Cricetulus griseus: one gene and its partners. The protein of the gene in region 1 purifies or fractionates together with the protein of each later gene. This does not show direct contact. Links are inferred from orthologs where the notes say so. Each region holds a gene or a part of one and is shown in the gene's direction. Other genes may lie near its edges. The genes, in order: heat shock protein HSP 90-beta, Erbb2, serine/threonine-protein phosphatase 5, Myh9, Hspd1, Cdk4 and Ikbkb.

Region 1 (4,569 bases):
CCTAGGCCCCTTTTATTGAGAGAGGGTATGGTGAGTCTTAAGTTCATAGTTTTAGATTTTGATTCAATGCAGCACACTGGGGTCTTTTTAGCAATCTCTATATTCACTGATTTTTCTACAGGCTTCTCTCCCGATACAATTGAGAGGATAAAGACAGCAGGGTCAGGTGAACTGAAGCGGACAGAGGCAAAGGAAAATGGGAAGGCAACCACTGCTAAACAATGAAAGCACATTGGGGAAGATGGGCTGCATGCACGCACTAGGAAGGAAGGTGTGGGCGGTGGCGTCGGAGACCTTGGCCAGAGCCGGCAAAGAAAGGAGAGGAACATTTACAGAGCACGGAGTGGCCATTCTCTCCTGGTGGGCTCATCAGCCCAACTCGCTTCCAGAGGCGGCCTTGGAAAATGGCAAGGCTAGACGGACAGGCGAGGCCTGGACAGACAGCCCAGTGGGAAGGCAGGGCGGAGGTACTAGCGCAATTTGGTTCTGGCACCTGGAACTGGGCCAACCCGTGACTAGCATCTTCACGCAGCTGCCTAGAGCTCCCGCTAATCTGATAAGATGGAGATCTCCCTCTCCCTAGGTCCAAAGAGCTGCAGGAGGCAAGAGTGCTAGAAAAAGGGAAACCAGCTTGAGAAGCAGCTTGCAGTGCTCGCAAAGGGAGGGCGCACGGCCCCGTGCGCCTTGTCCGTGGGCCACCTCGGAGGCTGGGGGGTGGGGAGTGTCCCACCCATCAGTGTGGGGTCCCCGGTCTGTTCACAGAAAGGTGTCCGCAGTCACTCACCCCCGCAGATCACGTGCCCTGCGACCGATCCAGGTCAGCCATCCCTCTCTCTGGGCGCCATCCCGCGTTCCACCCCCGCCCCCCCCCGCAGCAATGTGGGGCTCCCAGGGCCGGGGTCGTCTAACCATAGCGCACAGTAGGAGCATTGGGGGGGGGGACACAGTTCGGCATTAAGAGCCGGGCAGTAGGTAGCGCCTAGCCGAGCGGCTGCCCCCGCCGCAGCGGGGGGAGGTGGAGCCTCGGGGGGAGGGGTTGAGACCGCCGAGACAGCCCTAGAAACTGCTGGAAGAAATCGCAGTACCGCCGGCGTTGCTCCTTCCGCCGCGCGCCGCCAAAGAGTCCCTGGCAGCCCAGGCCCGCGCCCCTCCCGCCCGAGCAGCTGCTCGCCGCCTGCAGCTGCGGCCCCGTTCCGGAGGGTGGGCATCGGGACCCCCTCCAGCTGGACAGCGAATGTCCCACTGTCCTGCTCTCTCCATGTAGGGAACACTCTGGGAGGTGGGCTCAGAGAACGGCAGCCGAGTTAGCCATCTCGGTGCTCTTGCGAGTCGGGGGTGGAGGCGCCTGCCTCGAGGTTTCTGGGGGAGTCGGCGGGATATCCGCGCGTGGACACATCCCTAGCAGCATAAGCGCACCCCGTGGCCCTCATCTTGCCATGGCCTTGTCCTGGTCGTGCAGGAGAGGCCTCGGCTCGCCGCACAGGCCCCGGGTCGCCCCCCCTCCCGCCCCCAGTTGCTACCATGACGTCAAGGTGGGCGGGCGGCGGCAGGTGCGGGCGGCGGCCCCGCCCCCTGAGGCGGAGGGATCCAAGGGCGGGGCCGAGCTGTGCTTCGCCTTATATAGGGCGGTCGGGGGCGTCTGGGAGCTCTCTTGAGTCACCCCCGCGCACACTAACCTCCGCGTGCGAGTCGGTCGCGCTCCGAGCCCACCCGGCCCTGTACTACTACTCGGCTTTCCTGTCAAGGTAAGGCCGCGGCCTCCGGCCCTGCGGCTTCCCGGGGCTCGTTCCCCGGGCTCTCCCCCCCCATTCGCATCCGTCCTAGAAGGTCCCCGCCCAGCCGGGCGGCCTGTGGGCTGGTGTACCCCGAGCTGCTTGCGTCTGGCCCCGCGGGGTGGCTCGGCGAGGCTCCTTGGGGCCCCGGGTTGGGGCCCCGGCGCGTGAGGTGGGGGCGCGGCCCAGCTGTGTGCAAGGCAGCCGCACGTGGTAGGCGCCGACCTGGGACGCTGCCATGTTTGCCCTCCACTTCCGGGCGCAGCTGCAGGGTCCGAAGGGGCCGCGCGGTGGCGGGCTCCGCGGCGTGACTCAGCACGGCCCTGTGAGGCTGGCCTGGCCGCCTCCTTTGGACGCCTTTCCCAACGTGGTTGGGGTTCTTGGGCGTGGGGGTCGTCCACGGGGTGGCAGGGACGCTTGAGCGCACTGCCATTTGCCTTTCCAGATCTTTCCTGCGCTCCGGGGAAGGAGGAGGAGGAACCCGGAGGGGGCTGGCACGGGAAGATCCATTGGTCCCTCCCCTACCCCTCCCCTACTCCTCCCCGCCCTGGAGCTCAGATTGTTCTGGAAGCTCCTGGTGCCCCGCCCCAGTGCCCGGATGCTGGGGCAGTGGGAGGGTTGCGGTGGCGCCCCCTCCCCGATGGCTGCCGCCGACGCGTGTCCGGCAGTGACGAGGGTCGCTGGAAGGCTCGGGCCACCATTTTACTTGTGTTCAGGGCTATGCAAGTCTGCGCAGTGAGAGAGGTCATGGTGGAGCTTTTACCTCTTTGTCCTGGTTTAATTGCTCCTTGAGTGCCTCCATGACTGCAGCCTCGGGTTCCCTGCTCCTGCTAGGATGGAGCGGCACATAGAAATGGCTGCTGTTTCTGTTAGTTTCTTTTTTGCCCAAATAAAGTTGTAAAGGGTTTCCTGTATATGTTCACCGGGTAGCTAACGAATTATCATTTCTTGAATTTTAACAAGGTATGTTGTCGGGTTGAGCCTGTTTGAGCTGTAGTATACCGTTTTGGCTGCGTTTGTTTGAAGAACCATCCATCCTTTGAGTTTTTTCCGTTTTCGGTTTACCAGCTTACTGTAGCTTTTCAAGGTCTTTTTAAAAATGGCGGTTCTCATCCCTTGGGAATGGATACTACTCAGCTTAAAGCATTTTGAATTGGAGTTTAAAGTGCATCCATCGTTTTAGTAATTAATGTGTAATGCTTTCTTAGATGCCTGAGGAGGTGCACCATGGCGAGGAAGAGGTGGAGACCTTTGCCTTCCAGGCAGAAATCGCCCAGCTCATGTCCTTGATCATAAATACTTTCTACTCAAACAAGGAGATTTTCCTTCGAGAATTGATCTCCAATGCTTCTGATGTGAGTATCACAGCTTCATAGAAGCCCAGTGAGGGATTGAGAGGAGTCTGCCGTGGGTTGAGAGCCAAGACAATGTTTGCAGAAATGGAATAATGTGGCTGTGTGTTTATTTACAGGCCTTGGACAAGATTCGCTATGAGAGCCTGACAGACCCTTCCAAATTGGACAGCGGCAAAGAGCTGAAGATTGACATCATCCCCAACCCTCAGGAGCGCACGCTGACTTTGGTGGACACGGGCATTGGCATGACCAAAGCTGATCTCATAAATAACTTGGGAACCATTGCTAAGTCTGGCACAAAGGCTTTCATGGAGGCTCTCCAGGTGTGTGGCCCTATATCCACAACATTCTCAATACTGCTTTTGACTTGTTAATTTTTCAGTACTTGTTTTCACTAGTGATATGGTAGGCTTTTAACCTATGGAGATCAGAGGATTACTGGCCAGTAGGTCCCAGGGATTGAACTACTTGATAGTTACACTTGAGTTCAGCAAGCACTTGTGCAGAACCATTTTACTTACCTCTTAACTTTTAAAATCCTTTGGCAGGCTGGTGCAGACATATCCATGATTGGGCAGTTTGGTGTTGGATTCTACTCTGCCTATCTCGTGGCAGAGAAAGTGGTTGTGATCACAAAGCACAATGATGACGAGCAGTATGCTTGGGAGTCCTCTGCTGGTGGATCCTTCACAGTGCGTGCAGACCATGGTAAGCTGCCTGTCCTCGTTTGGATGCTTGGTAGAATTCTCTGGAGGATAGAAAGTCCAAAGTCTTGATCATGCACTGTTTAATCTCAGCACTTTGGAGGCAGAGGCAGATGGATCTCTTGTTTTAGGACAGCCTGGGCTACATAGAAGCCCTGTGTCAAAATGGGGAGCAGGGGGTTGAGTATTTTGGTTGTAGTTTTTTTGTTTGTTTTTTTTTTCTTCATTGTGGTTTTTTGAGACAGGGTTTTTCCTGTGGCTTTGGAGGCTGTCCTGGAACTAGCTCTTGTAGACCAGGCTGGTCTTGAACTCAGAGATCCTCCTGCCAGGATTAAAGGCGTGCACCACCCCACCGCCCAGCTTAGTTGTAGTTTTCTATGTCTTGATTCTATCATTCACTTTTTTATAGGTGAGCCCATTGGCCGGGGTACCAAAGTCATCCTTCATCTCAAAGAAGACCAGACAGAGTACTTAGAGGAGAGGAGGGTCAAGGAAGTGGTGAAGAAACACTCGCAGTTCATAGGCTATCCCATCACCCTCTATGTGAGTATGGACTTGGCAGTATTTGAGCAGTCTTTGCTGGTGATAAGTTCTCCACAACTCATTATCCAATTTGGTAATTTAGTTGGAGAAGGAACGAGAGAAGGAGATCAGTGATGATGAGGCAGAAGAAGAGAAGGGTGAGAAAGAGGAAGAAGATAAGGATGATGAGGAAAAGCCAAAGATTGAAGATGTGGG
Region 2 (4,538 bases), on another chromosome or scaffold:
CTGTTTGTTTTCGTACACATGGTTTGTTTTGATCTAATAACTTTGTACTTCAAATTGATCCCCACAAACATCGCATCTGCTCCAGAATTGCTAAATCTGAGACTGTGTAGTGAGCAATTATTATGCTGAGTACTTCTATAATGTTTTCTCCTTTAGCCCTCAGCTCAGTATGCTAGATCTTACAGATTTGTAAACCAAGACACAGAGATGGTTAGTCACTAGCCCAAGGTCACACAGCCAGTATGTGACAGATTAAAGATCTGCACTCATTTCAATCTGAGAGTCCTTGTTCCCTGGTTCCTAGTGTGAGAACCAGAGGCCACTGTCTTTCATTTCTCACTTCTGGCTGATGCCTCCATTTGCCTGATTGCCTCTTGACCAGCACAGGTGTGTTCTTGACTGGACCATTCCAACTAACATCATTAGATGTTAGCAAATAAAAAGTAACTATTCGAGTTCACTTTGAATTTCAGACAAACAACGGGTAATTTGTTAGTGTAAACATGTCTCCTGCACAGTGTTCTTGGAATTTCCAACAAAAAACACGCCTTTCTTTCCCCTTCCCAACTGTCACCAGGCCTCAGAGGCGGAGTCTAGGTACTTCAGGGGTAAACTGGCTAGAGAAAAGGACAGGGACAGAGGAGACACTGAACGAACTATGTACTGGGTGAACTTACAAAGAAACGGGGATGGGGCTTGAGAGGTGGCTAGGCGGTTAAGAACTTGTGTTGCTCTCAGCAGAGGACTGGAGTTCAGTTCCCAGCACCAACGTGGGCTGCACACAACTGCCTGCAATTCCAGCTTCAGAGGATTCCCACGCCTCTTCTGACCTCTGTTGACAACTGCACTTATATGACCCCTCCCCACCCACCACCCCAAAGCGCGAACACGCATAATTTGAAATAAAAATAAGTCTTAGAAAAAAATTAAAAAGGAAACAAGGATAGCTGTTCTTCCAAGGATGAACAGAGGTCCCCCGATATGACTTGTCTCCTTCTAGTTCTGTGGGTCCCTGTAAGATCTGGCTGGAGATACCCAAAAGGATGAAACTGACATTCCAGAGCGTCCTGGAAGTCACCAATTAGACATAGCACACCCTCTTCCCAGACTGTGGATTCTACCTGAAGGATGTAGGGGTAGACCCATTTATTTGACATTAAGGGTGTGATGGAGTTAGATGCAAAGGTCCCAGGAAAGTTCAAGATAAAACCCGAGACTGCAAAGAGGGGTAAAAGGATGCTCTGCTTTTAGTAAATGGGTGAGAACTGCAGCAAGTTAGCCAAGCGTCGGGGCACAGGGCGCGACGCACCCAGGCCTGCGCCGGGAGGGAGAAAGTGAAGCTGAGAGCAGCCACTCCCAGCCTTGCTGGAATGCAGTTGGAGAGGTGGGGGGGGCGAGCCGGGAGCGCCCGGCTCCCAATCACGGGCGGCGGAGGAGGTGGAGGAGGAGGAGGGCTGCTCGAGGAAGTGCGGCGTGAAGTTGTGGAGCTGAGATTGCCCGCCGCTGGGGACCCAGAGACCAGGAGCGCCCCTTCCCCGGCGGCCCCTTCCGGCGCCGCGCCTGTGCCTGCCCTCGCCGCGCCCCGTGCTCGCAGCCTGGTCCAGCCTGAGCCATGGGGCTGGAGCCGCAGTGAACACCATGGAGCTGGCGGCCTGGTGTGGCTGGGGGCTCCTCCTCGCCCTCCTGTCCCCCGGAGCCTCGGGCACCCAAGGTGGGTCTGGCATGGGGAGGACGCGGGCCGCTGCGGCTGCGCCCACGGGCGGCCGGGACCCCGGGGCCCCGGGAGCTCTACAACCGGGCGGTCCGGGACGATGGGGGATCTCGGCTGCGGGCGCCGCGGCCCGGAGGGGATCGGAGCAGCTGGGGATGGGGCAGTCACTGGGAGGACCACACTGGAGGTCGGGACCGGCCTCCGCCGGCCACAGCGGCGCTTCCCGGGCAGAGAGGCTCCGGGAACTCCTCGGGGAAAGTTCTCTGAAAGTTTTCCTCCCGAGGGTGTGCGGAGCGCTGTGCGTGCGTGCGCGTGTTTCCCCCCCTTCCGAGCCCCCTCACGCTTTCTCAAAGCTCTTCCAGTTGGCAGCCTCCGCCTCCGGACTGGACTGGGCAGGATGCCTTCGGGGTCCCCTCTGCCCTGCCCCTCCCCCTCCCCACCCCCCTCCGGCCCTTTGGGTTTAGTAAGTTACTCCAGCTTCCTGCGGGGTCGCGGAGGAGGGGGCGGTGGGGAAAGTAACCGGTCCTGTTGAGCAGGGAGGACCGAGTGGCGGGTCCGCAGTTGAGTTGCTGCTCCACGGTGTCTGGGGTGTGGAGGGGACGGAGCGGGGTAATTATTTGTTTTGCACAAGTTTTTTTTTTTTTTTCTTTTCTTTTTCTGTGCTGGAACACCCTCTACTGCACCCCCACACCCCAGTTGGGGGCGTGCTAGGCAAGATCTCTACTACCACTTGGGCTGCTCTCTCCACAGTTCTGTTTTGAACAAATTTCTTTAGAGCCAGCCTAAGTACTGTGTGCTTTGGGACTCTGGGAAAGCTGGATCTTGAAGGGTGGTCGTGTGTTTCCCGGCTTTCATTTGGTAAAGTGGGAAGGGTTCCTGGGCATTTTAAGGGGAAGGCATGGAAAAGAAGGCCAGCTACGGGTAGACAGAGAACTGGCTTGTTCGCTTGCCTCTGTCTTCGTGTTGGGGGCTGGGAGGGTGACCCGCCCCCAGTGTGTACTAACCCATATGTCCATTTCTACCCTAAGAGTAAAAGCTGATACACACTCGGTGTGGGTCTGCTCTGCCAGGCTCCGTGGGTGGCGGTTTGCATGCATTCCTTCTTCAGTCCTGAGAACAACTCCACAGTAGAAATACTAGTTAGCCTTCTCATTGTCCCAGGGTGAAAACATGGGCTGGAGAAATGAAGTGTCATCCAAGAAGTGGTGGAGCCCAGGCAGTGTGACTCCCAGTCACATATTTGAAATCATAATACGAATCTACCTGGAACAATGGGGCACTGCTTCCTGAATCAGGGAAGACATAGAAAGCAGGTTCTTGGGAGCCATGGATGCTCTCCAGCGGCCAGGGAGCCTAGAGACTGGTGGGGTATCATCATCTGTGTGTACTCCCAGAGCCCCCCAGAGTCAGTACACTGCTGTGCTTCGGGGGGGGTACCCCTGTGTGTCTGAGGTGTTTATGATGGTTGTATGTTTATGCTGCCAAACAGCAATCTCTCTGCTGACTTGGGGACACGAGATGAACTCTGCCCTCTCCAGGAACTCCCTCAAGGTACTAGGCTATATCTGCTGTAAACAGTGGGAGATGCCCCTTGCCTGGCTGAGGATGAGGGCTCTTTTCAGTTTCTCAGGAGGGCATCGTTCACCTGAGCCTGGGAGTGGAGTTGGCCAGGAGTGGCCTTGCGCTGTGGAGCGGGAGCCTGAGGGGTCAGTTCTCCAGATGGGGTGGGGGTGGGGCTGAGTCTCATTCCTCCAGGTGCACTGCTGGGTGCAGAGGACAAGACACTGACTTGCCAGGAATGGTTTAAAAGGCAGAGCACCATCCAGCTGCCTCTAGCTCCAGATTATACCCCAGAACTGATGATGTAGGGCAGGTGTGTAGGGGAAAGGAGATCTGGGGAAGGCCCAGAGGGGCAAGATGTTACTGGGATCCTCAGGGCTCTAGGTTTTGAGAAGTGCAGGGGACCTTGCAGGGTTTGTTCCTGTTGGTTCTCTCCAAACCCTTCCCCCTTTTTGCTATAGGGGGACTCAATAGATCCCTCTTGCAGAGGACATGGGCTCCATTCCCAGCACCCACTTGGTGGCTCACAGCCTTATAGCTCCAGTTTTAGGAGATCTGATGCTTAATTTTAACCTCCATAAGTACCGGGCATGTGTATAGTGTATATACAAGGACAGGCAAAATGCTCATACACATCAAATAAAATAAACCTTAACAAGAAAAAGAAAAAAAATGCATTTCAAAGTCAAATGAAAAGGCTTTCTCCTTTTTCCTGAGCTGTAATTACTCAGAACCTGCTATATGCTTCTCTCTCACCTTCTAAAAACTTCTGTGTGCTTCCTGTATGGCAGATCCCTTTCCATAGACGGCTCTGTTCCCTCTCTGTCCTGTCCTGTAAAGTGGGTGGGCATATGGGGAAAATGAACCTCAGAGACACGAAGAGACTTATCAGGGGCATTAAGAGGTGGTCAGAGTTCTAGGCATCAACCAGGGATGAGTAAGAAGAGCCTTGGGGCAGCCAGGCAGCCAGCCACACAGGGAAGAAGTGCTAGTCTGTTACTCAGTACGGCCTTTCCAGCCCCTAACCCAGGCTGGAGAAGGTGCCCTGAGCTGGGGGCCCAAGAATCCTTCCTGGCTGCAGAGTTAGCTCCTTTCCAGCCCATGCTAGCTTTTCTCTTGGGTCCTCAGCAGTGCCAGGGATAGAGGGCAGGAAGGTGCTGAGACCACCAGGACACACGGCCATGGGAATGTAGGTAGAGTAAGTGGAAACCTGAGGAGCTAGTGGAGGCTGAGCTGGAAGGCAGAGGAGGGCCCAGGGAAGTGTGCT
Region 3 (3,856 bases), on another chromosome or scaffold:
AATACCAATAAAGAGAATAATTGCTGCTGCTTTCATTGCACCCCTGTGGTGGCCAGGTACTCCTGAGCCGAACCTGCCTGGGGCATGGGGGTGGCGGTTTAGGTTTATAGAGGAAGCCGAAGCCGACTCAGAGTGAAACTTCTTGCCCAAGGTCAGAGTGTGTGAGCAGGAGGCGGATATCCCCTTCCTTCCTCTCTCTCCACGTGCTCAGCTCTCCTTGTTGGACTCATCTGGCCTCAGTGGGGAGAAAGGGGTACTCTGTGAAGGAAGGGGGTGTCTCGGGGACTCAGAAGGCCCATCCCCAACCACAGAGGGTTCCTCTGAGAGCTCAGCCCTACTGTAAAGGTTCTGGGGATAGAACCCGGTCCCCGGCTCAGTGTCAGTCCAAAGGAAGCAAGCCTCTGCTCTTTCCCGTTCTTCCTGAGGAAGGAGGCTGTTCTCACCTATGGGTCTTCATGATCTAAGGGTTGTGGTAGGGGAAGGACTGCATGGTGGTTCAGGGCACTCCTCTGTGAAGGAAGACTATACCTGGAGGGTTGTACTGCCGCAGCTGCAGGATGGCCCCTGGCTGGAGTGTGACAGCCGGTGGAAGCCTTCAAGGTGGGGGCCTCCTGTCCCTTGTGTGTACTGTTCCTTCCCTCCTCCATTTGGCAGTGTGTGAGGCCAAGTGCAGCCTGGTTCTCAGGTGCGGACAAGTGGTCTGAGGGGCTGAGGCTCCAGCAAGAGGCTCTCTGTCTGCACTTTTGTGTTGGAATCTGCACCACCGGGTGTCAGGCTACACACTCTCTGCCACTTGGTGAAGTCCCACCTATCCACCTGAGTACTAACCAGCAGCCTCTGGAGCCCAGCCAGGATGCCAAGGAAGCCCTCAGAGGCACTGACATTCCTGGGAGGGGCCCTCTAAACTGTGCCGCCATCTGCACCTTCCTGCCTTCGTGGCTTCTGGGAAGTTCTAGGTCCTGCCTTCTTGGGGCTCATGGGCCTAGGAGACAACCAGAGTGGCAGAACTGGGGCAGGGAAGGTGGAGGCAGGGTGGTGCCTCACCCAGACCGGAGGTCAAGTGGAGCTTCCTGAGAGGGGACATTTGGACTTCGTGACAGAAGTCCAGGAAGGACTGCTGAGCTGCACCCCCAGGACCAGCTGTACTGCCTCTGGTCTTGGTCTCTCCCTGTCCCCCAACCCCCAACCCTCTCCTCCCTTGGCCAAGTGCTTCCTTCCCCATTCATGGAGCCGCCTCTGCTCACATCCCTCTCCCATGTCTTGGATCAGGCCCTTAGGCTGTCTGAGCCCAGAGCACTTTGTCACTGTTATCTGGGATCAGATAGATCTCTCTCCTTGATACACCAGCAGTCCCTGGAGGGCAAGGCTGTGTCCCCAGATCAGTCCTGAGCTCTAGGAAGGGTGACAGACACCTTCCTCACGGTGTTGAGGGTTCAGCAAACAGTCCCTGAGTACTCTGAGAACGGTGAGGTGGGGTCAGGGCAGTAACCCCACTCCAGGTTGAAACTCAAGTACAGAGAGGGTATTGAAGTTGTCCAAGTACACCCAGCCTGAAAAACCAGAGCTGGGCCGGCTTCCCATTGTCTGAGCCGGGTGCTGTGTCAGGCTCCCACCAGGGCACGTGGAGGTAGGATAGAGGCCTTGCCATTTCTACCTGCCTCAGAATTCCCATCTGCCACTTGCCATGTGACCCCAAGCGCAGGCTTTCCTTCCCTCTCTGAGCTTGAGCAACCCTCATCAGGAGATGGGCTAATGTGGCTTTCTCCCTCCGGTTCCTTGAAGATCCATGTGTCCTGGGGTGCTGTGTGGCCTCGGGTACATTGCGGTCTCCCAGCCTGGGCAGGTCTCTCAGAGCAGCCCGAGGCCCTAGTTCTGCTGTTTGTGTAACGACCTCTCGGGAGGAGGGGTCAGGCCTAACCTCTGCCAGTACAGACTGGGGCTCTGACCTTGAACTAGGCCTCTGTGGTTTGTGTCAGGTGAGCACCAGATGTTGCTTATGCTGTGGGGACAGGAGGGTCCCACAGGTTGATGGAGAGCCCAGGGCCCAGCTGTGCTCCTCAGTTCCCATAGAGTCTGACCTTTTACCCTTGGAGGGGAGTTACCCTTGTCCCTCCCCCAGCGCTTGCCCTCCTGCGCCAGCTGGTCGCCCTCCACACCTGCTGTAGCTCCTCCTCGCAGCCTAAAGAGCTCCCTCCCTTCATCCTCCCGCTCTCCCCATCTCTGGACCTGTCTGCTTACTCTGGGCATCTGGACAGCCACAGGCTCGGACTGTCTCAGTTTGCCTGGCTTAGATGGAAGTGCTGGCACTCCCTGACGTGCCCCTCTGATCATGGGGAGACTTGGAGCCCTGAAGGAAGTAGCGCCCAGCCTGGACTTTGCTGGGCCGATGTGTGGATTGATTCAGGTTCTGGAGACTGTGACCTGAGCCTCAAAACCTGGGCTATGGTCAGACATTGGGGACAGGGAGGAGGGACAGAGTCCATACTGAACCCCAATCTTCTCTTGTTAAATATATATTTATTTATTTACTTTATGTGCATTGGTGTTTTGCTTGCGTGCATGTCTGTGTGAGGGTGTCGGATCTTGGAGTTACAGACAGCCGTGAGTTGCCGTGTGGGTGCTGGGAACCGAACCCAGGTCTGCTGGGAGAAGCGCCAGTGCTCTCAACCACTGAGCCGTCTCTCCAGCCCTAGTCTTCCCTTTTGTAACAAGGACCGTCAGTCTAGGGTGGATCCCCCCTACCTGTGGCAACAGGGCTTCATGCCTCCTTCTCCTCCACAGCCAAGGACTACGAGAACGCCATCAAGTACTACAGTCAGGCCATCGATTTGAACCCCAACAATGCTATCTACTATGGCAACCGCAGCCTGGCCTACCTGCGCACCGAGTGCTACGGCTATGCCCTGGGCGATGCCACTCGGGCCATCGAGCTTGACAAGAAGTACATCAAAGGCTACTACCGACGGGCGGCCAGCAACATGGCACTGGGCAAGTTCCGAGCTGCCCTACGTGACTACGAGACGGTGAGCCGGGCCTCGGGCACGGGCCAGCTCCCGGTACCCTAGCCAGGTGGAGGGGGGAACACCAGGGACGGGGAGGAGCTGTTCTGTGTCTCCTCTTTTCAAAGGCTCACCCAGATGCCGTGAGGACTCTAGGCTCTCGGATTCTACCTCTCGGCCATCGTGCTCTCTATGACCCTGGACAAATCACCTGGCTTCTCTGCCTTCCTGTGCCCTCAGCGTGTTGAGGACAGGCCCAGCCTCGGGTGGCTGCAGGAGAGTTTCTACTGTGTGCATGCTTGGAGCCATGCAGGCACGTAGTCTGTGGTCGCTGGTAGCTCAGCCTTGTGACTGCTGCGACTGTTGATAGTGGTGGTGATTAGTAATGGTAGCAGTTACTGGCAAGGACCGAACAAACCTTTGATAGCTTGAGAATCTGGCAGGTGGGAGCCATGTGTCACTGACTAGGCAAGGGAAATGACTGTAGGCAGAGAGTAGCGGTTCCGAGAAAGTAGAGCAGGGTGACACATGTGGAGGGACAGACAGCCTCCAGGGACACGTTCCCCTGTGGACATGAGAGAAGGGACCTGGATGACATTTCCTCATCCACCACTGCCTACTGCTGATGTGCTCTGACATGACAGCCTTGATGGCGGTAGCAGGGACTGCCAGGACATCCACTTGGGACAGGTGTGCTCTGTGCCCTTCACAGAGTCAGTGGCTCTGTGAAGTGCCACCCAGAGAATAGGAGATTGCTCCTGTCATACAGGTGAGGACTCTGTATGCAGTCCTTGACTGCATCTCTCCTCCCCAGACAGTTAGCTCCCTGCTCAGGGACTCTGATCACTGCTGACCTT
Region 4 (2,563 bases), on another chromosome or scaffold:
GCCATTGTGAGATTTGTCTGCAGAAGGAAAAGCATCTTCAGATTGGGAACAGATGTCAGGAGGATGACAGAGGGGACTGAGTTTTCTGCCTTGTAGTTCTTTAACCTGGCTTGAAGCATGCCTACTGTCTTGTCCCTGAGACCACCTGGTCAGTGACTGTGTGTCATGGCTGCCACAGTCAAAAGAAAGTATAAGAAGTAAGGAGGACAGTTTGCACTGTATCCAGGGGTCATTGCTGTTAAGAAATGCTGTGTAAGTCCTTGGAGGAGGATCCAGGTGCAGAGCCACTTGCCTTTGGTTACTTTTCTGCCTGTTTATAAAGAGGTTGGCCAAAATGGTCCCAGGCTCAGAGAGGTCCCCACGGGTGTGAAGTAGGTGGAGACGCCAGACTCTCTTGCTGCACACAGGCCCAGATGAAGGACTGCATGCGGGAGCTGGATGACACGCGCGCCTCCCGAGAGGAGATCCTGGCGCAGGCCAAGGAGAATGAGAAGAAGTTCAAGAGCATGGAGGCTGAGATGATTCAGCTGCAGGAGGTGGGCCAGCTGTGGGGCACGGGGCTTCTGCCTCCTGGCCAGCAGGGGGCAGCCTGGGGCCTTTTCCTGTTAGTAGGCCTCAGCCCAGAAGGGAAGGGCAGAAAAGCTGAGCTACCTCCTGGCAGGAGTTAATGGGAGGGGTCCTTCCAGGGCTCATGCCCTAGCCACACAGTTGGCATGGCATGGTGTATGCGTTCATGCTCATGAACATGTGTAATGGGGACAAGGATGAGACTCAGTACTCCCCACCTTTTAAAAGAAAATGTGACTGCTTAGTCCCCAGTCCATCCCATGAAGCGGTGTGTTGATTATAAGCTTACAGCGATTGCACATGGCAAGGAGGGTCCTGAGTGCCCCCTGGGCTGCTGCTTTGGTGACACATGAAGCACATGGTGGGGACAGGTGGGGTGGTGGACTTCCCACAAAGTGCCACCGCCGGCTTATGAAATGCTTGGTCAGACCCTCTGCTCTGGCATGGTTCTTCTCTTCTACTGGGTGTAGGATAACTCCCTCCATTGTCACCGTCATGCGTGGTGCTCTGGAGGTTTCTACAGTCTGTCTGCTGCCCTTAGTGGCAGAGTCCTGGACTCTAACCTGCACTCAAGCCTGCTTCATTAATCATCTCAGTATCTGGTCTGACCATATGCAGGGGACCAGTACTGCAGGTCTGTCCACACAAGCTGTCCCTGTTAGGCCTGGGTGGTTCCTGTTTATAGCCCTGGCTCCTGGCTTGGCTCCAAGTACTTAGGCATAGGGGCTTTATAAACACATGCCTAAAGGTGCCTCGGGCTGGAATTGACCCTGTGAGCTAGAGGAACAGAGGTATGTGCTGAGGGCCAGAGAGGACATGCGGCGCTGAAGGCTGTGTTGGTCCCAGTCATTTATGTTCTTGGTCCTTGTGGCAGGAATTGGCAGCTGCTGAGCGTGCTAAGCGCCAGGCCCAACAGGAACGGGACGAGCTGGCTGACGAGATCGCCAACAGCAGTGGCAAAGGGTGAGCCAGAGGGAGGAAGCACAAGCAAGGGTGTCTGAGGGCCTCCCCAGTTACCCAAGCCCTCACGTCTCTGGGTCCTCTCCAGGGCACTCGCGTTGGAGGAGAAGCGGCGCCTAGAGGCCCGCATTGCCCAGCTGGAGGAGGAGCTGGAGGAGGAGCAGGGTAACACAGAGCTGATCAACGACCGGCTGAAGAAGGCCAACCTGCAGGTGAGCATCGTGGTGGCCGCTGACCCTGCATACTGGGATCAAGACTCTTTGCCTGAGCTCCCTGTGGTCCAGCAGACCATGGCGGGCAGAAATAGGATGGATGAGTGTCCACTGTTCTCACAATGCCTCTGACCCGTGGCTTCAAGACCAGGCTTCAGAAGTTTCTGGGTCCTGTTCATGAGTAGATTCCTCTCTGAGAGAGCTGGGGTGTTCTTTGGTTCTGATGTCTGAGGAGAGGGTCCATGCAGCTGGGCCCCAGCCCTCCCTTGAGGTCACCGTACTGCCTTCTTGCAGATTGACCAGATAAACACCGACCTGAACCTGGAGCGCAGTCATGCTCAGAAGAACGAGAATGCGCGGCAGCAGCTCGAACGCCAGAACAAGGAGCTCAAGGCCAAGCTGCAGGAGATGGAGAGTGCTGTCAAGTCCAAATACAAGGCCTCCATTGCTGCCTTGGAGGCCAAGATTGCACAGCTGGAGGAACAGCTGGACAATGAGACCAAGTAGGTACCCCACCCAAACTGAGGGCAGTCAGTGCCGGTCGGGTCAGGAATGAGCTCTGTCTTCCAGGCTTCACAAGCAGTCTTCATTTGTTCTGAGAAGTATGGAGTTTGGGTGGGAACCCATAGCCCACACCCAGAACTGGGAGCTTTGTGGGCTGTTCTAGTGAGAGACCCTGCCTAGCTGTCTTGGGGCTCAGAACTGAGACTTGGAAGTAATGAGGACCATGCTGGGTCCCAAGCCTCAGATTCTCCATAGGCTGGCTCCTTCACTGGTCTCATGGGTCAGCCCAGGTCCCATCCTGAGATGGCAGCTACTGGGTG
Region 5 (4,606 bases), on another chromosome or scaffold:
ATGGTTTTCCTTCATGCGCGGTTCTTTGTGAAGTTAAATTATTTCAAAAAAAGACATCTACTATTTTAAAAGCCACTTGGTAATCTAGGATTTTCTACTCCTTTCCTTCCATATCACATATAAGACTCAGTACTGCTGTAGTAGCTCCCAGTTACCTTTCCTTTCGAGCCTGATCCCACAGCCACTACTGTTGCTTGCAATACTTTTCCTTGAGACTTTTCTGGAAGCATAATGCCACCTTTGGTCACAGTTTCGGCGGCACTCCTTTCAACCAATACTCTGTCAAAGAGCGGTAGAAACTTTTTGAAAGCTTGTCCAGCCTGCGGAGAGAAACGTGTTCAAACGGACTGTCATTGCGTTCGCAGCGTCAGACCACGAACAGTTAATACCGCTGCATGCCTTAACCTATAACGGGTCAAACGTCCCAAACTGACAAGAAAAATCTAGGTGTGCCTTTAGAAAATATTCTTGGATGTTTCATACCCTGTATATTTTAGTGCGTGTGGGTGGGTGGGGGGGTGTCTTCATTGCCCATCAGCACCCACACTACCTTTAACCACAACCTTGGTCTCCTCCAAGGTCAAACGTTTTCCTTCTTTAGATTTCTTTTTTTAATTCTAGTAACGCCGGGGAGAGAGTATCAATTTTTGAGCTGGGTCATATATTCTCCAACACAGTATACGTCCATGAAAGCCCTGGCAGGGCAGGTGGGCTACTGAGTGTGCATCCGGGTTCCCGCCCCCTACCCCGGGCTCCTGCAGCACACGTGCGTGCAAAGAGGCCGTGGTGGAGAACCGCATCGGACAGGCCTCGCTCCTGCGGAACCCGGGCGGGCGCCGAACACTGCGTGGCCCCCTGCCCTGCCGGTGCTAAACCGGCACACAGGGGGGGACACCGTGGGTCGCGGGGGACCCCGACCCGCAGGCAGGCCTGCCAGCCCAGGGACACTCACCATGACTCGCGCCGCCGCCGCTCGGACTCTGCACTCGGGCCGCCGCTGCAAGGAGAGTCCTGAGGTCCGGCTCGGGACACGTGAAAAAGCCACGCAGCGCGCAGGCGCAGGCGCACGCGGCCCCCCCCCGCGAGCGTGAGAGAGGGCGGCCACGGCAGCGCGCGCGCCGATTGGTGGCGAGGACTCCGCGCAGGCCGCCGAAGGGGGCAGCCGGAGGCGGAAGAAAAGGGGCGCGCTTTCTAGGCTTTTCCAGGCGGCCCGCTGAGGTGAAAGAACGAGCCCTTCGTCCTCCTCCCGGAAATGACGCCACCTGACCCTTGACCCACGGGAGGCGCAGCGCCCTTCCGGAAGGTTCTAGAACGGAGCGAGGCCCAGGAACCAGCGTAGGGCGGCGGGAGAGGGTTGAGCCCGCGGGGCTGAGACCGCTCGGGTACGGGGGGGGCGGGGCCACCCGCGCCGCATGCTGATTGCAGGGCCCGGGCGTGGGAGGGAGCGGGGCGCGCGCGCACGCGGGGCCGCGGGGCGGGGCCGCGGAGGGAGGGGACTCGGACTCATTGCGGTGCGCGCTCTGCGCTCGGTCCCTCACTCGCCGCCGACGGCCTGCTTCGCCTCGTGCCCTCCCGCCGCCGCCCCGCAGGTACACGGCCTCGACGTGCATGGCGCCCGGGAGCTCGCCGGCCTGCTTCCGGCTGGGCCCGAGCATGGCGGGCTAGGGGACAAGGCTGGCAGCGACGCCGCAGGCTCTGCCGGCCTGTCCAGGCCCGACGGGGCCACGCGGGTTTCATCACGTGCGGCGGGGACCACGCGACCCAGGCCAAGCGCGGGAGCGAGGACGGGCTAGGGTGGGAGCCACTTGGGCCCTCTGGTGCCACCTGCGCCTGGCGCACTGCAGGACTCTTGTCGGAGGGTGGTCGCGGTCCCTTCTCGTCCCCTCTGGCTGCGGGGATGCGGCGCCTCTACTTTGACCTTGCCTGGGGCTCCTTGTCGGGCAGACACGTGGGGCCGCGCGAATGGGCTGAGCTGCGGTCCTGGGTTTTGCGGCCTTGCTAGTTGCTGTGCTACCGTAGCTCCGGGTGGACACCTGGCGTCACTTTTCCTGAGCGGGGTTTTGCACCGTCATGAGTACTTGTATAGTTCCCTGTGCTCTTGCATTTGGAACCTGCCTCGCTTACGCCAGCTTGATTTTTTTGCCCCCCCCACACACACTTTTGGAGTGGATCTGTTCCTAAGGCCGCTTTGCCAGTGAAAGATTAACTCGCGGTGGCAGGAGTGGGTGGCCATGGGGAATGGTTTTGTGTGCTAGGGCTGCAGGTCAAGCGAGCATGGGGGCGGCCTCCTTAATCCGTTGCTAGCAATTGATGTCCTGAAGCTGCAGCGCCGTGTGTGGCCCAGGCGTGGCGGTTAGCAGAGGACTGCCAAGCTCCAGTCTAGCTAGCCTCCATGTTCTGAAGCACAGGTGGACAAGTTTGTCCGTAACTAGTAGTGATCCTTTGCTTTTTTTTTTCCCCCCCTCTCCCAGAAATGCTTCGACTACCCACAGTCCTTCGCCAGATGAGACCAGTGTCCCGGGCGCTGGCTCCTCATCTCACTCGGGCCTATGCCAAAGATGTAAAATTTGGTGCAGATGCTCGAGCCTTAATGCTTCAAGGTGTAGACCTTTTAGCGGATGCTGTAGCTGTTACAATGGGGCCAAAGGTATCAGTATACTTTAAATCGTGTTAATAAAAGAATAGTATTCTGTAGCTGCAAATTAGACAGTATTTGTTAACAAGTTTTATGAAAATCTAATTTGAGTGTAGTACATGTTAAGTGATTTGGGGGTGTTATTTAGGAGTTTCGTTAGTTGGTGGCCTTAATACTGCTGCAGCCGATTTGGGGGACTTTTGTGCAACATGATGTAATAGAGTAGTAATAGCTCAAGGAGGATTTTCAAACTTTAGGCGTAATTAATCTTGTGTGAATGCTTGCATTAAATTTTGGATCCTTTCCCAGGAGTTAGAGGGTATAGAGGGGAAAGGACAGCTCAAGACTAGTAACACCTCAGAGTGTAATTGTAGATGTGAGGTTTTACTTAACTGTACTGAAGTATTACAGTATGCATACAGTAGATGCGATAGCATAGAGTTTAGATTTATTTATATTTTTATGTGCATTGGTGTACTGTCTGCGTGTATACCCATGTGAAGATCCCAGAACTGGAGTTACAATTGTGAGTTGCTATGTGGGTGCTGGGAATTGAACCTGGGTCCTAACCACTGTGGCATCTGTCCAGCCTAAGTTAATATTTGTGACTTCGTTTGCATTGTTCTGTAACTCACCATCACACATCTCCAGAACCGTTTTCACTTGCACATGGAAAAGGCTATCTGGTCTCCCATTTATCCCTCCATTGTGCATACCTCATGATTTCTCTGCCATTTCCACATTCCAAAAGTTTGGTTTGGGGTTTTTAAGAGTCTCGATAGCTTAGTCAGACCTCTAACTCGCTTTGTACCAAGACTATCCTTGAACTGATTGTCCCAGGTATGTAACAGTTTAGTATACTATTCATCTGGTGTTTATTGAGACAGGGTCTTTAGCCATAGCTGACCTGGAACTCCTGTGGACCAAGCAAGCTTGAACCTTGAATCATTGCTGAGATCCAAGGCTGGAGTCACTCATCTGTGTGGTTGAATAAGGAGCCATAGTACTTTGAGGACATAATTGGATGTGGGGCACAGTTGCTTTAAATTGACGTTAAAGCCATCTAAAGAGCTTCGTAAAGTGCTGTTTATATAGGTCAAGACAGAATAGCTTGGTTCAAATCCAAGTTGCCAATACTGTTGGTGTCAGTTTTGAAGTTTTGAATTGCATGAGCAGGAAACAGTAAGTTAAGAACAAACTTACTGGCTGATATTTAGTGAATGGATGTTCAAGTAAATTGTACTTAAAAGCAACAGTTAATAAAAAAGTAATAACAGTTCATAACCAAAACTCGTGTACAAGTGATGGAAGGGTGTTCCAGGATTGGTGATTGTCACCTGTGCTATCTTGTTTAATAGGTGGCATCTCTTTGGGTGGGTGGGGGATGTTATCTACTGTTGTACCTCAGAGTTCCTTTTGTCTATAGACCTAAGAATGTTGATTAACTTGACCTTTGAGATTCACGTTTCAGGACTGTTAAAAGTGACAACTTTGAAGTTTATGGTTGAGGGTTGTTATTCTGTCATTGTAGGGAAGAACAGTGATTATTGAACAGAGTTGGGGAAGTCCCAAAGTAACAAAAGATGGGGTCACTGTTGCAAAGGCAATTGATCTAAAGGATAAATACAAAAATATCGGAGCTAAACTTGTTCAAGATGTTGCCAATAACACAAATGAAGAGGCTGGGGATGGCACTACCACTGCTACTGTTCTGGCACGTTCTATTGCCAAGGAAGGCTTTGAGAAGATCAGCAAAGGGGCTAATCCAGTAGAAATCCGGAGAGGTAAGAGCATGTCATTGACCCTACAGAAATGAGAGTATTGTCTCATCTTTTTCCTTTCTTAATACATTTGTTGGTGTGTGTCCATAGACAAGATGGGAGTTGTCCTCCCTACCCTTAAGGGTCTCATTTCCTTAGGTGCCGTATTGGAAACAGGCAACATGATTGGATTAGTAGTAGCTTAAGAAGA
Region 6 (4,292 bases), on another chromosome or scaffold:
AAAGCAGGCCTCAAAGTCACAGAGATCATGATGCCTGCTTCTGCCTATCCCGTGCTGGGATTAAAGGTGTGAGCCATTGCCACCTGGCTAAAAAACAATTTTAAAACAGCTCTAGATTTTAGAGTTTCTCACAGATGGGTACATGGTCTTTTATTCCCCAAATGGTGGGAGACAACAAAGGAGTTGGAGCCCACAACACAACGAATGCCAAATCTACCTGTCTACCTAGATTTCTGTGGGCACAGACCACTTGGGAAATGCCCATAAGGGCAAGAGTAGCTCTAAGAAAGCTGCATTAGAAATAAAAAGGAATGTGACACCAATGATGAGTTGCATGTTTGCAGAGGGACACAAGACGTTCTCGGGCAACATGGTGGTCTGAAGTGGTGTTGGTGACCGCCCTTGTACACGCTCACCGTTTTGTCTGTTCATATGCACAATTACATACATATGTAACACAATACAGAATCTTAGTGTTAAGAGCCTTTTAAGATCAGGCACCCTGTTGGGCCGTAGTGGTGCACGCCTTTAATCTCAGAATCCCAGCACTTGGGAGACAGAGGCAGGCAGATCTGTGTAAGTTCGAGGTCAGCCTGGTCTACAGAGAGAAACCCTGTCTCGAAAAAAAACAAAACAACAGAGTTTCCAATAACTCCTTGCTGCTTTTAATATTCCCAGGGAGGTTTGCAAGTTGGAAGAGGGGAGGGCATTACGTTGCCACTCTTCCCATACAGTGACTGAGTATATTAATCCTGCTGTCCATCTTTTAGCCCTAGTTTCCTTCTTGGATAGGAATCGTACTCCCTGTTTCATAAGGGGCCACACTTGCCTACATTAGATACCCTCATCATTACTTCAGAGGGCGAATGGCTGAGACACCAAAACAAAAACATCACATACCAACTGGAAAGGAGCCCTTAGTAAAATTTTTGTTGAATGAATGAGTAAAACGAAGGCACAGTATACGAATGCTCCTTCCCCATGGCGCTGGAGTGAAAAATGTGACAGTCCCATCTCTGGTACCAGGATCTCCCACTAGCACCCGGACCTCCCCGCCCACGTCCAGACAAGGAGTGAGACGGAGAGATGCGCACAGGCTCGGCCTTGAGCCCAGAGTTGAGAGCCGGCTGGCCCGGTTGCCATGGCACCGCCTGGTGCTCCACCCTCCCTCGCCCCCACACACCCCCTCGGCAGTCAGGGACTGGCGGCGGGTCACGTGGTAGGCGGCGTAGCCACGCCTCTGCTTCCCAGCGCAGAGCTGAGGGGTCACGTGGGATAGCAACAGGTCACGTGCCCGAGCGAGTTTCGCCCCCCCCATCCCAGGTCATCCACTGCGCATGCATGGATGGATGGATGGATGGATGGAGACCACGTGTCCGCCGCGAACGTCCGGCGTTCGCCCCCCCCCCCCGGTTTCCGCGCGCCTCCCTGGCTGCTGGTCACATGGGGAGGGTGGGGGTGAGGGGGGCCTCTCTAGCTCGCGGCCCGTGTCTATGGTCTGGCCCGTAGCGTCCAGCTGCCCGGGACCGATCCCCGGTGTATGGCGCCGCAGGAACCGGCTCCCGGGCCCAGATAAAGGGCCACCTCCGCAGCTCTTGGCCGGGCGAGAGGTGAGTGCAGCCGCTTGCAGGGATGGGGCCCGGCGCCCCGCCACCACCCTATGGATCCCCTCGTTGTGGAAGGATGGCCCAAGGGCGGGAAGCGGGGCCTTTGTGGTCGCGGCCAGCGTGTGATTTTAGGGAATAAAGTGTGCAACCTTCGATGCCAACGCCGTGCATTGTGATGGTCTTCTTTGTGCCCGGTGCGATGTCCCGTTCTCCCCCCTCCTCCTCCCCGGGAGGAATGCATTCTTTTTCGCCCCTCCGGGACATCACGTGGCTGGAGGGCTCGGTGGGAGAGTCTTTTGTGTTACCTGAGGCGCGGCACTCTGGCAGCGTGGAGGGAGGGGATGGGCGGCTGTGTCGGTGCGGTCGTGGGCAGGAATTCCTTTGTTACTGCTGGGTCATCCCCCCTCCTAGCTGTGAAGGAAAGGAGGGCTTGGTTTTAGAAGCCTCTGTGATTGTAGGAGATCTCCCTGCTCCGAGAATGGCTACCTCCCGCTATGAACCGGTGGCTGAAATCGGTGTTGGTGCCTATGGGACGGTATACAAGGCCCGAGATCCCCACAGTGGCCACTTTGTGGCCCTCAAGAGTGTGCGAGTTCCCAACGGAGGGGGAGCTGGAGGGGGCCTTCCCATCAGCACTGTACGCGAGGTGGCCTTACTGAGGCGGTTGGAGGCCTTCGAGCACCCCAATGTTGTACGGTGAGGAGGTTGGATTGGGAGTGGGGAGGAAAGAATGGGATCTGTAAGCCAGGGGTGTGGTCGTCGGGAGTGGGACCCTAGGACTCCAGAGGCCACGTTGGAACAAAGGACATTGACCGGCTGGCGACTGTTTATTTTTGTCAGGCTAATGGATGTCTGTGCTACCTCCCGAACTGATCGAGACATCAAGGTCACTCTCGTGTTTGAGCATATAGATCAGGATCTGAGGACATACCTGGATAAAGCACCCCCACCAGGCTTGCCAGTTGAGACCATCAAGGTGAGCGGGCTGCTCGGTGAGAGGTGGATCCGGGTCTTTGTAGTAGGGACTCTTGGGGTTTTTGAGCGTGTTACATGGTGTCCGGGGCTTTCTCCTTCAAAACCAGGACCTGATGCGACAGTTTCTAAGCGGCCTGGATTTTCTTCATGCAAATTGCATTGTTCACCGAGACCTGAAACCGGAGAACATTCTGGTGACTAGTAATGGGACAGTCAAGCTGGCTGACTTTGGCCTGGCCAGAATCTACAGCTACCAGATGGCCCTCACACCTGTGGTGAGTGGAAAGATGGCAGCCCCAATGGGATTCGGCTTTAGGTAGTACTTGATTTCCCGTAGCAGCTGAGGTGTGTTGTGCTTGACGTTCTCAAAGCCCAGCAGCTATGAGCCATGAAAAGGACTCTCACTCGTTTCTCCTCTTCTGTTTAGGTTGTTACACTCTGGTACCGTGCTCCTGAAGTTCTTCTGCAGTCTACATACGCAACACCCGTGGACATGTGGAGCGTTGGCTGTATCTTTGCAGAGATGTTTCGTCGAAAGTACGGGGCTTGAAACTTTTGTTTTTTAAGACAGGGTAGCCCTGGCTGTCCTGTGACTCCCTCGGAGATCCGCCTGCCGCCACCACCTGGCTCAGGGTGTGGAACTCTTAGGTCCCTTCAGTTACACAAATCTTTTGATGTTACTTATGGTGTTAGAGGTTGAAATCAGAACTGCACATACACTGGGCAAATGCTCTATACCACTAAACTACACTCCCCGCCCCTGGGTCTTTTTACAAGACATACCCGTTCTTGACCATTTTTGTGCATATGGCACTGGACGCCCCAACCTAGGCTCTTGTATTTATCAGGCGCGTGCCCTGCCACCCAGCTATAGTCCCAACCTATCCTGTTTATGTTCACCAACTTGCCTAAAACCAGAAACGATGCAGGCAAATTTCCTGAAATGTCTAGGAATTAGGAACTTTGTGTTCCCTTATTCTCCGTCCTCTCTAATCTCAGCCACTTTGATTATCATTCCCTTATTTCTGAAATAATATATACTTGGAATATTTTTCTACCTTAGGCCTCTCTTCTGTGGAAACTCTGAAGCTGACCAGTTGGGCAAAATCTTTGAGTAAGTGTCCAATAAAGGGGAAAGAAATCCCCCCCCCCCTTTTTGTTTGTTTTTTTCGAGGCAGGGTTTCTCTGTGGCTTTGGAGGCTGTCCTGGAACTAGCTCTTGTAGACCAGGCTGGTCTACAAGATCTCAAACTCACAGAGATCCGCCTGCCTCTGCCTCCCAAGTGCTGGGATTAAAGGCATGAGTCACCACCGCCCGGCTAAAATTCCCCATTCTTAATTCAGTTTCTGCTCAATTCCAAATGGCAGTTGGCCCTGGAGATGGAAACTGGAAAAAGCCCCCCTGACCAGATTTGTGTTATCCCTACAGTCTCATTGGATTGCCCCCAGAAGATGACTGGCCTCGAGAGGTATCTCTTCCCCGAGGAGCCTTTTCCCCCAGAGGGCCGCGGCCTGTGCAGTCGGTGGTACCGGAGATGGAGGAATCTGGAGCACAGCTGCTGCTGGTAGTGGGCATGGGCCAGGGAGGTGGCTCTGTGATAAAGCTTTTAGGGCATAAGTGTAAGGACCTGAGTTTGAATCCCCAGAACTCGAGTAAAAGCTATGTGTCAGTGAGCTTCTATAGTGTCTCTTAATACCAAATGGGTGGTGG
Region 7 (4,369 bases), about 29 Mb from region 1:
TTAAAGCTGAGCATGGCATCCCACCATAGGGAATGGACTCCAACAAGCCAGTTCATATACCAGGTTTGTATTGTGGTCCTACTGCCAGGGACCTCCCAGCTAGTCCAAGCTTCACAATTGTCTCCCACAAACAGGGGGCCTAGTTTGGATCCATGGAGTCTCCACAGCTCTCTGCCTAGAGCTCATTAGTTTCCACAAACTTGGTTCAGCTGTCTCTAGATTTCTCCGTCATGATCTTGACCTCCCTTGCTCATGCATTCCCTTCTCCCTGTCTTTGGATTTGGAAGCTCAGCCTTGTGCTTGATTGTGGATCTCTCTGCCCTTGTATTTGCCTGAGCTCACTGTTTTGCTTGCTTTAATAATAAAGGAGTGAGAAGTTCTTTATTTGCACTACTCTTGAGTTCAAATGCTTAGAGTCCCCTGGATATCCAACGAAGACCTTTGGCATATCCATCAATCCACTGAGAGTTAATCTTGCTGGTGGCTGCCCATGCTGGTATAAAGGGCCAGTAAGTCAAAAGCCTCATGCCAGACATAAGAGAAGCTTGTCTCGGCAAAAACTTTTCAAGCAGTTCTGACAAATGTAACCATACAGGAGAGATTGAAGTCTAGACAATGATGGTGGACCAGAACACACCTTGAGCAGGGCTGCTTAGTTATGTATGCCTCTAGCCTTCCATTTAAACCCAAACCTTATGTTAGGACCCCAGTATTGGACCTGGGTTCGCAGAGGCATGGGTGGGAGTGATTGGGCCTCTTTCTGTCTTTTCTCTCTCTTTTTCGGCTTTTCAGTGTTAGTTGTGTCGTGAATTAGGCCATGGAGGGTGAGTGGCTGAATGTGACCTGTTGGGGGTAGGGGAGAGGCAGGTAGGAGAGAGTGTCCTGGTTCTTGACCTAATACTGCAACTCCAGCTTAGGTAGACACAGTTTTTTGTTTTTGTTTTGCTTTGTTTTTGTACTCTTCCTCCTCTTTTGGGGGGGTGGGGTGGGGGATGGGAGTGTGTTACTTTCTGAGGAGTGTCAGTGTCTGTTTTTCATTCTTAGCACTGAACCAGGAGCATTCAGATTCGATGAATGGCAGTGGGAGCACAGGAAGGCAATTCGTATTACAGTCCTAGTAGCCACTTAGCAGATTCTCCCGACCCTCGTTAACTGCCTAGCTTGTTCGATGAAACTCAACTCGAAAAGCCTAGGGTAAAGCAGTCTCTACGCCGCCAAGTCCAGAACCCGCCTGCGGGCTGTGGCTGCATCTCAGCGAGCGGCTCGCACGTCTCCTTTAAGAGCCGCCAAATTCCCGTGACGTCAGGGCAGGAAGTGTTTGAGGAAGTGGCTCTGGGCTGGCTGCGTGGGGACCCTAAGTTTTCATGCCCTCTGTGGGTATCGCTGGCGGCCCCGCGGCCCCTGGGGCAGGTGAGTCCCACGCGAGGGCCGTTCGCTGCGCGTGGAAGGCCCGCGTGGACGCGTGCCCCGCCTCTTCCCGGGGTCTGCGGTGGTGGCTGCTAGCAGTGAGGACCAGGACCGCCAACGGGCCGGGCCGCGGCAACTTTTATTTATTAACTAAACCCTCTGAGTCTGCTCCCCTTCCTTACCTTGAAGGGCAGCAGTCGCTACTGCCTCCCCCTGCTTCTCGAGCTCCATTGTTTCGTTACTCTGAACTTGTCTTCTCTTCCTCTTGCTTCCAGAGTTAGCCGGGCATCGATATGAGCTGGTCACCGTCCCTCCCAACCCAGACATGTGGGGTTTGGGAAATGAAAGAACGACTTGGGACTGGGGGATTTGGAAACGTCATCCGATGGCACAATCAGGTAGGGCTCTGGCCCCGGGGAGAGCAGGTGGACTTTCTTGGTGCTGCTAATGCCAAGGCCGGTGCAAATCGGTGAACTCCCGCCTAGTCTTAGCATGATCTAAAAGGAGAGTAAGAAAGGGGGACTGCAAGGGAGGGGGGTGTGAGAGCTGCTAAACTGACTCTTAAAAACCTTGTTAACCCTGCCACTTAAATAAGGTGGAAAAAAAGCTGTCATTCTAAGTGTTAGACTAATATTAAACTAGCATGTAATGCATTGCATACCGGTGAATGTCACAGAATACAGACCGTGTTAAAAAGATGAGAGCAATAAAGATATTTTAAATAACTTTTAAATTTTAAAATATTTTTAAATAGTTGATAAACCCGGAGTCTTTTGTAATACCGAACTGCACAAAAGACAAGGAGTTAAGGATAATGGGTGAAAAAGTGCAGAGGGTAGGATGGTGAGTGGCTTGATTTCTCTTTTGAGCTGATCATATTCTCATTATTTTGGTCTTTATGTGTCTGAGTCGAGTTTCTTGTGTTACAAGTTTTTGTTCTTCCAGAGGTTTTGGTTTGGGCTGGTGGTTTAAGAACACTGAATTCTTTGAGGGACTCCCTTTAAGTCACCCGTTTACTGTGTGAGAGTTATTTTATGCAATTTGGATAATGAGTTTATGGTAATGCCTAAAAAGTTCGTGGCACCTGTAATATTCCTGTAGCTCCATCCATCCTTCTGCTGTAGATCACTTTCCTCAGGGTTGCTGAGTACCAGATACGATGTGCAACTAACTGACTAACTTGGGGGTCACAGCCTGTGCCCTAAGCCAGGTACTGCTACCCATCCTCAATAAGCCCATTAAGAGTTAATGTAATATCGGAGAGCAGAAGATTGGGTCAGTGTAGTCACATTGAGAGGAGGAACAGAGACCCAGCAAACCTCCCAAGTCCATCTTCAGGATCCTAAATGAGATTAAGGTTTAAATAGAAGGCCATGGATATGTGCATCACAGCAGTCCAGTGGTCCAGCTTACCACTGACCCGTTTTTTTGTCACCCTGTAAGATTTTCTGAGAATTTGTCAACAAATCTTTCTTCAGAAGACAAATTCCCCTTCTGGATGGTGGTTTCTCCTTTCCCAACATGAAATTCCTGGGGAATCCCCATCTTTGGGGTGCAACATTTGAAATTGTCTCTTTCATTTGTATCTTCATTTCTACCTGGCCAGTTACAGGACCTTCTGATAGACCTGGGAGGTGCTTTTATTTTATTTTATTTTATTTTATTTTATTTTGGATTCTAGTATTGGGCATCACTTGAGAAACAACCAAAATTAGAAACTACCCTTCTAGGGAATCAGTCCTTCCTAAATAGCTGTAATTAAAGTCTTGAGTAGTCTAGGTGAGAGACTAGCCTGACTGATGGTGGCGATAGGAAGAAGTGGGCAGATTTAAGAGCTGTTTAGGGGTAAAATGAGCAGGACTTGGATAGGATAGGAGGGTATTGGGGTCAGAGTTGGGATGGAGTTCGATTGAAGTGGTGCTGACTGAAGAACCCGTTTGCTTAGTCTGAATTCCTCCACCATCTTCATGGGCTAATCCTCCGGGAAAGCCAGGGGGCTGCTTTGGATGTGCAGAAACAATCTTTAATCCATATCTGAGATCAAAAGGTACAGTGTGCTTTCTAGTGGATGTACCTCTGTCCCAAGCCTCTTGAAAAATGCAGCTAGATGTGGTAGTATGCTTGGCTTCACATGTTCTTGCTATTTCCTGTGCTTTCTCCTGTCTATAAGCAAGAGAATGGATGTAGCTATCACAGGAGAAGTGCTGCCTAAGAACCAGGGTCATTGCTGTAAGCCTGTTGCATGCCAGCATCAGGCTAGGTGTCTCCTGTGCAGCTTTTGTTTGGCATTGCCCTGAGCTGTGAACCACCCTTATCTTACATAATTCACTTCTGGGGTCGACAACTCTAATTTCCATTTTGTAGCCCAAGAAACAGAAGCACTGGGGAGTTAGTTAATGTTCAGAAAGAGGATATACTGTCAACATGTACATCTATTTGGATCCAGATGATATATGCCACGGTGGCTTCTCCAGGTTGGAACTAGAGTTTAGGACATGCCTAACACATTCCCAGTTATTTTGGAGGTCCTGTTTGTTTCTTTATAGTCTACCCAAGCCATTTTGAGGCACTAAGGAGAAATGAAGGGATACCTAAATCTGTATTCCTCAGTGAAAAAGAGCAGTGTAGCAGTGACCCTGCTCCAGTTCTCTTGGCTCTTGATTCCCCCACACAGTGTGGGCTTGCCAGTCTTTGCTGCATAGGAACACCCCTAAATCTCCAGCTCACGGCCTAGCACAAACTGTTTGTAGTTCAGGTAAGCTAATGTTTTCAGTAGACCTTGAGATATATACACAGAGGAAAAAGATCCAACTCAAGGTACCTCAGCCAGCAACTCCTTTTGAGGGTAGGCAGAGGAAGGAGTCACATTCTCAGTCACACAACTTGGTTGGGATTCTGACTGTCACATTCTTAGATTTTGGTCTCAGCGTCTGGTGTGCATTATGGATTCTCACCCTGACTG

The links.
Region 2: the proteins of heat shock protein HSP 90-beta (region 1) and Erbb2 purify together in Homo sapiens (co-immunoprecipitation; 5 studies listed by BioGRID and IntAct, with this or other methods). This does not show direct contact. The link is inferred for Cricetulus griseus from reciprocal best matches to the Homo sapiens genes HSP90AB1 and ERBB2.
Region 3: the proteins of heat shock protein HSP 90-beta (region 1) and serine/threonine-protein phosphatase 5 purify together in Homo sapiens (affinity purification with mass spectrometry; 6 studies listed by BioGRID and IntAct, with this or other methods). This does not show direct contact. The link is inferred for Cricetulus griseus from reciprocal best matches to the Homo sapiens genes HSP90AB1 and PPP5C.
Region 4: the proteins of heat shock protein HSP 90-beta (region 1) and Myh9 purify together in Homo sapiens (affinity purification with mass spectrometry; 4 studies listed by BioGRID and IntAct, with this or other methods). This does not show direct contact. The link is inferred for Cricetulus griseus from reciprocal best matches to the Homo sapiens genes HSP90AB1 and MYH9.
Region 5: the proteins of heat shock protein HSP 90-beta (region 1) and Hspd1 fractionate together in Homo sapiens (co-fractionation; 3 studies listed by BioGRID). This does not show direct contact. The link is inferred for Cricetulus griseus from reciprocal best matches to the Homo sapiens genes HSP90AB1 and HSPD1.
Region 6: the proteins of heat shock protein HSP 90-beta (region 1) and Cdk4 purify together in Homo sapiens (affinity purification with mass spectrometry; 5 studies listed by BioGRID and IntAct, counting the BioPlex papers as one, with this or other methods). This does not show direct contact. The link is inferred for Cricetulus griseus from reciprocal best matches to the Homo sapiens genes HSP90AB1 and CDK4.
Region 7: the proteins of heat shock protein HSP 90-beta (region 1) and Ikbkb purify together in Homo sapiens (affinity purification with western blotting; 3 studies listed by BioGRID and IntAct, with this or other methods). This does not show direct contact. The link is inferred for Cricetulus griseus from reciprocal best matches to the Homo sapiens genes HSP90AB1 and IKBKB.

The regions. Positions count from the first base shown.
Region 1 is NW_023276807.1:31,888,528-31,893,096, reverse strand, and holds the start of heat shock protein HSP 90-beta, read left to right. Parts: upstream 1-1,606; 5' UTR 1,607-1,745; intron 1,746-2,980; coding exon 2,981-3,127; intron 3,128-3,243; coding exon 3,244-3,450; intron 3,451-3,675; coding exon 3,676-3,835; intron 3,836-4,240; coding exon 4,241-4,374; intron 4,375-4,456; coding exon 4,457-4,569. UniProt on the Homo sapiens protein: Molecular chaperone that promotes the maturation, structural maintenance and proper regulation of specific target proteins involved for instance in cell cycle control and signal transduction. Undergoes a functional cycle linked to its ATPase activity.
Region 2 is NC_048600.1:111,535,621-111,540,158, forward strand, and holds the start of Erbb2 (receptor tyrosine-protein kinase erbB-2), read left to right. Parts: upstream 1-1,426; 5' UTR 1,427-1,638; coding exon 1,639-1,711; intron 1,712-4,538. UniProt on the Homo sapiens protein: Protein tyrosine kinase that is part of several cell surface receptor complexes, but that apparently needs a coreceptor for ligand binding. Essential component of a neuregulin-receptor complex, although neuregulins do not interact with it alone.
Region 3 is NC_048602.1:11,649,936-11,653,791, reverse strand, and holds part of serine/threonine-protein phosphatase 5, read left to right. Parts: intron 1-2,781; coding exon 2,782-3,023; intron 3,024-3,856. UniProt on the Homo sapiens protein: Serine/threonine-protein phosphatase that dephosphorylates a myriad of proteins involved in different signaling pathways including the kinases CSNK1E, ASK1/MAP3K5, PRKDC and RAF1, the nuclear receptors NR3C1, PPARG, ESR1 and ESR2, SMAD proteins and TAU/MAPT.
Region 4 is NC_048595.1:374,865,652-374,868,214, reverse strand, and holds part of Myh9 (myosin-9), read left to right. Parts: intron 1-407; coding exon 408-536; intron 537-1,441; coding exon 1,442-1,530; intron 1,531-1,615; coding exon 1,616-1,739; intron 1,740-2,033; coding exon 2,034-2,242; intron 2,243-2,563. UniProt on the Homo sapiens protein: Cellular myosin that appears to play a role in cytokinesis, cell shape, and specialized functions such as secretion and capping. Required for cortical actin clearance prior to oocyte exocytosis. Promotes cell motility in conjunction with S100A4.
Region 5 is NC_048595.1:409,526,344-409,530,949, reverse strand, and holds the start of Hspd1 (60 kDa heat shock protein, mitochondrial), read left to right. Parts: upstream 1-1,464; 5' UTR 1,465-1,589; exon of another isoform or gene 1,590-1,670; intron 1,671-2,471; 5' UTR 2,472-2,473; coding exon 2,474-2,647; intron 2,648-4,166; coding exon 4,167-4,419; intron 4,420-4,606. Other genes in the region: MOB-like protein phocein, read right to left, coding at 156-320, 953-955. UniProt on the Homo sapiens protein: Chaperonin implicated in mitochondrial protein import and macromolecular assembly. Together with Hsp10, facilitates the correct folding of imported proteins.
Region 6 is NW_023276806.1:130,641,168-130,645,459, reverse strand, and holds the start of Cdk4 (cyclin-dependent kinase 4), read left to right. Parts: upstream 1-1,452; 5' UTR 1,453-1,610; intron 1,611-2,065; 5' UTR 2,066-2,085; coding exon 2,086-2,303; intron 2,304-2,447; coding exon 2,448-2,583; intron 2,584-2,689; coding exon 2,690-2,857; intron 2,858-3,009; coding exon 3,010-3,119; intron 3,120-3,645; coding exon 3,646-3,696; intron 3,697-4,010; coding exon 4,011-4,146; intron 4,147-4,292.
Region 7 is NW_023276807.1:60,985,674-60,990,042, forward strand, and holds the start of Ikbkb (inhibitor of nuclear factor kappa-B kinase subunit beta), read left to right. Parts: upstream 1-1,296; 5' UTR 1,297-1,410; intron 1,411-1,682; 5' UTR 1,683-1,700; coding exon 1,701-1,805; intron 1,806-4,369.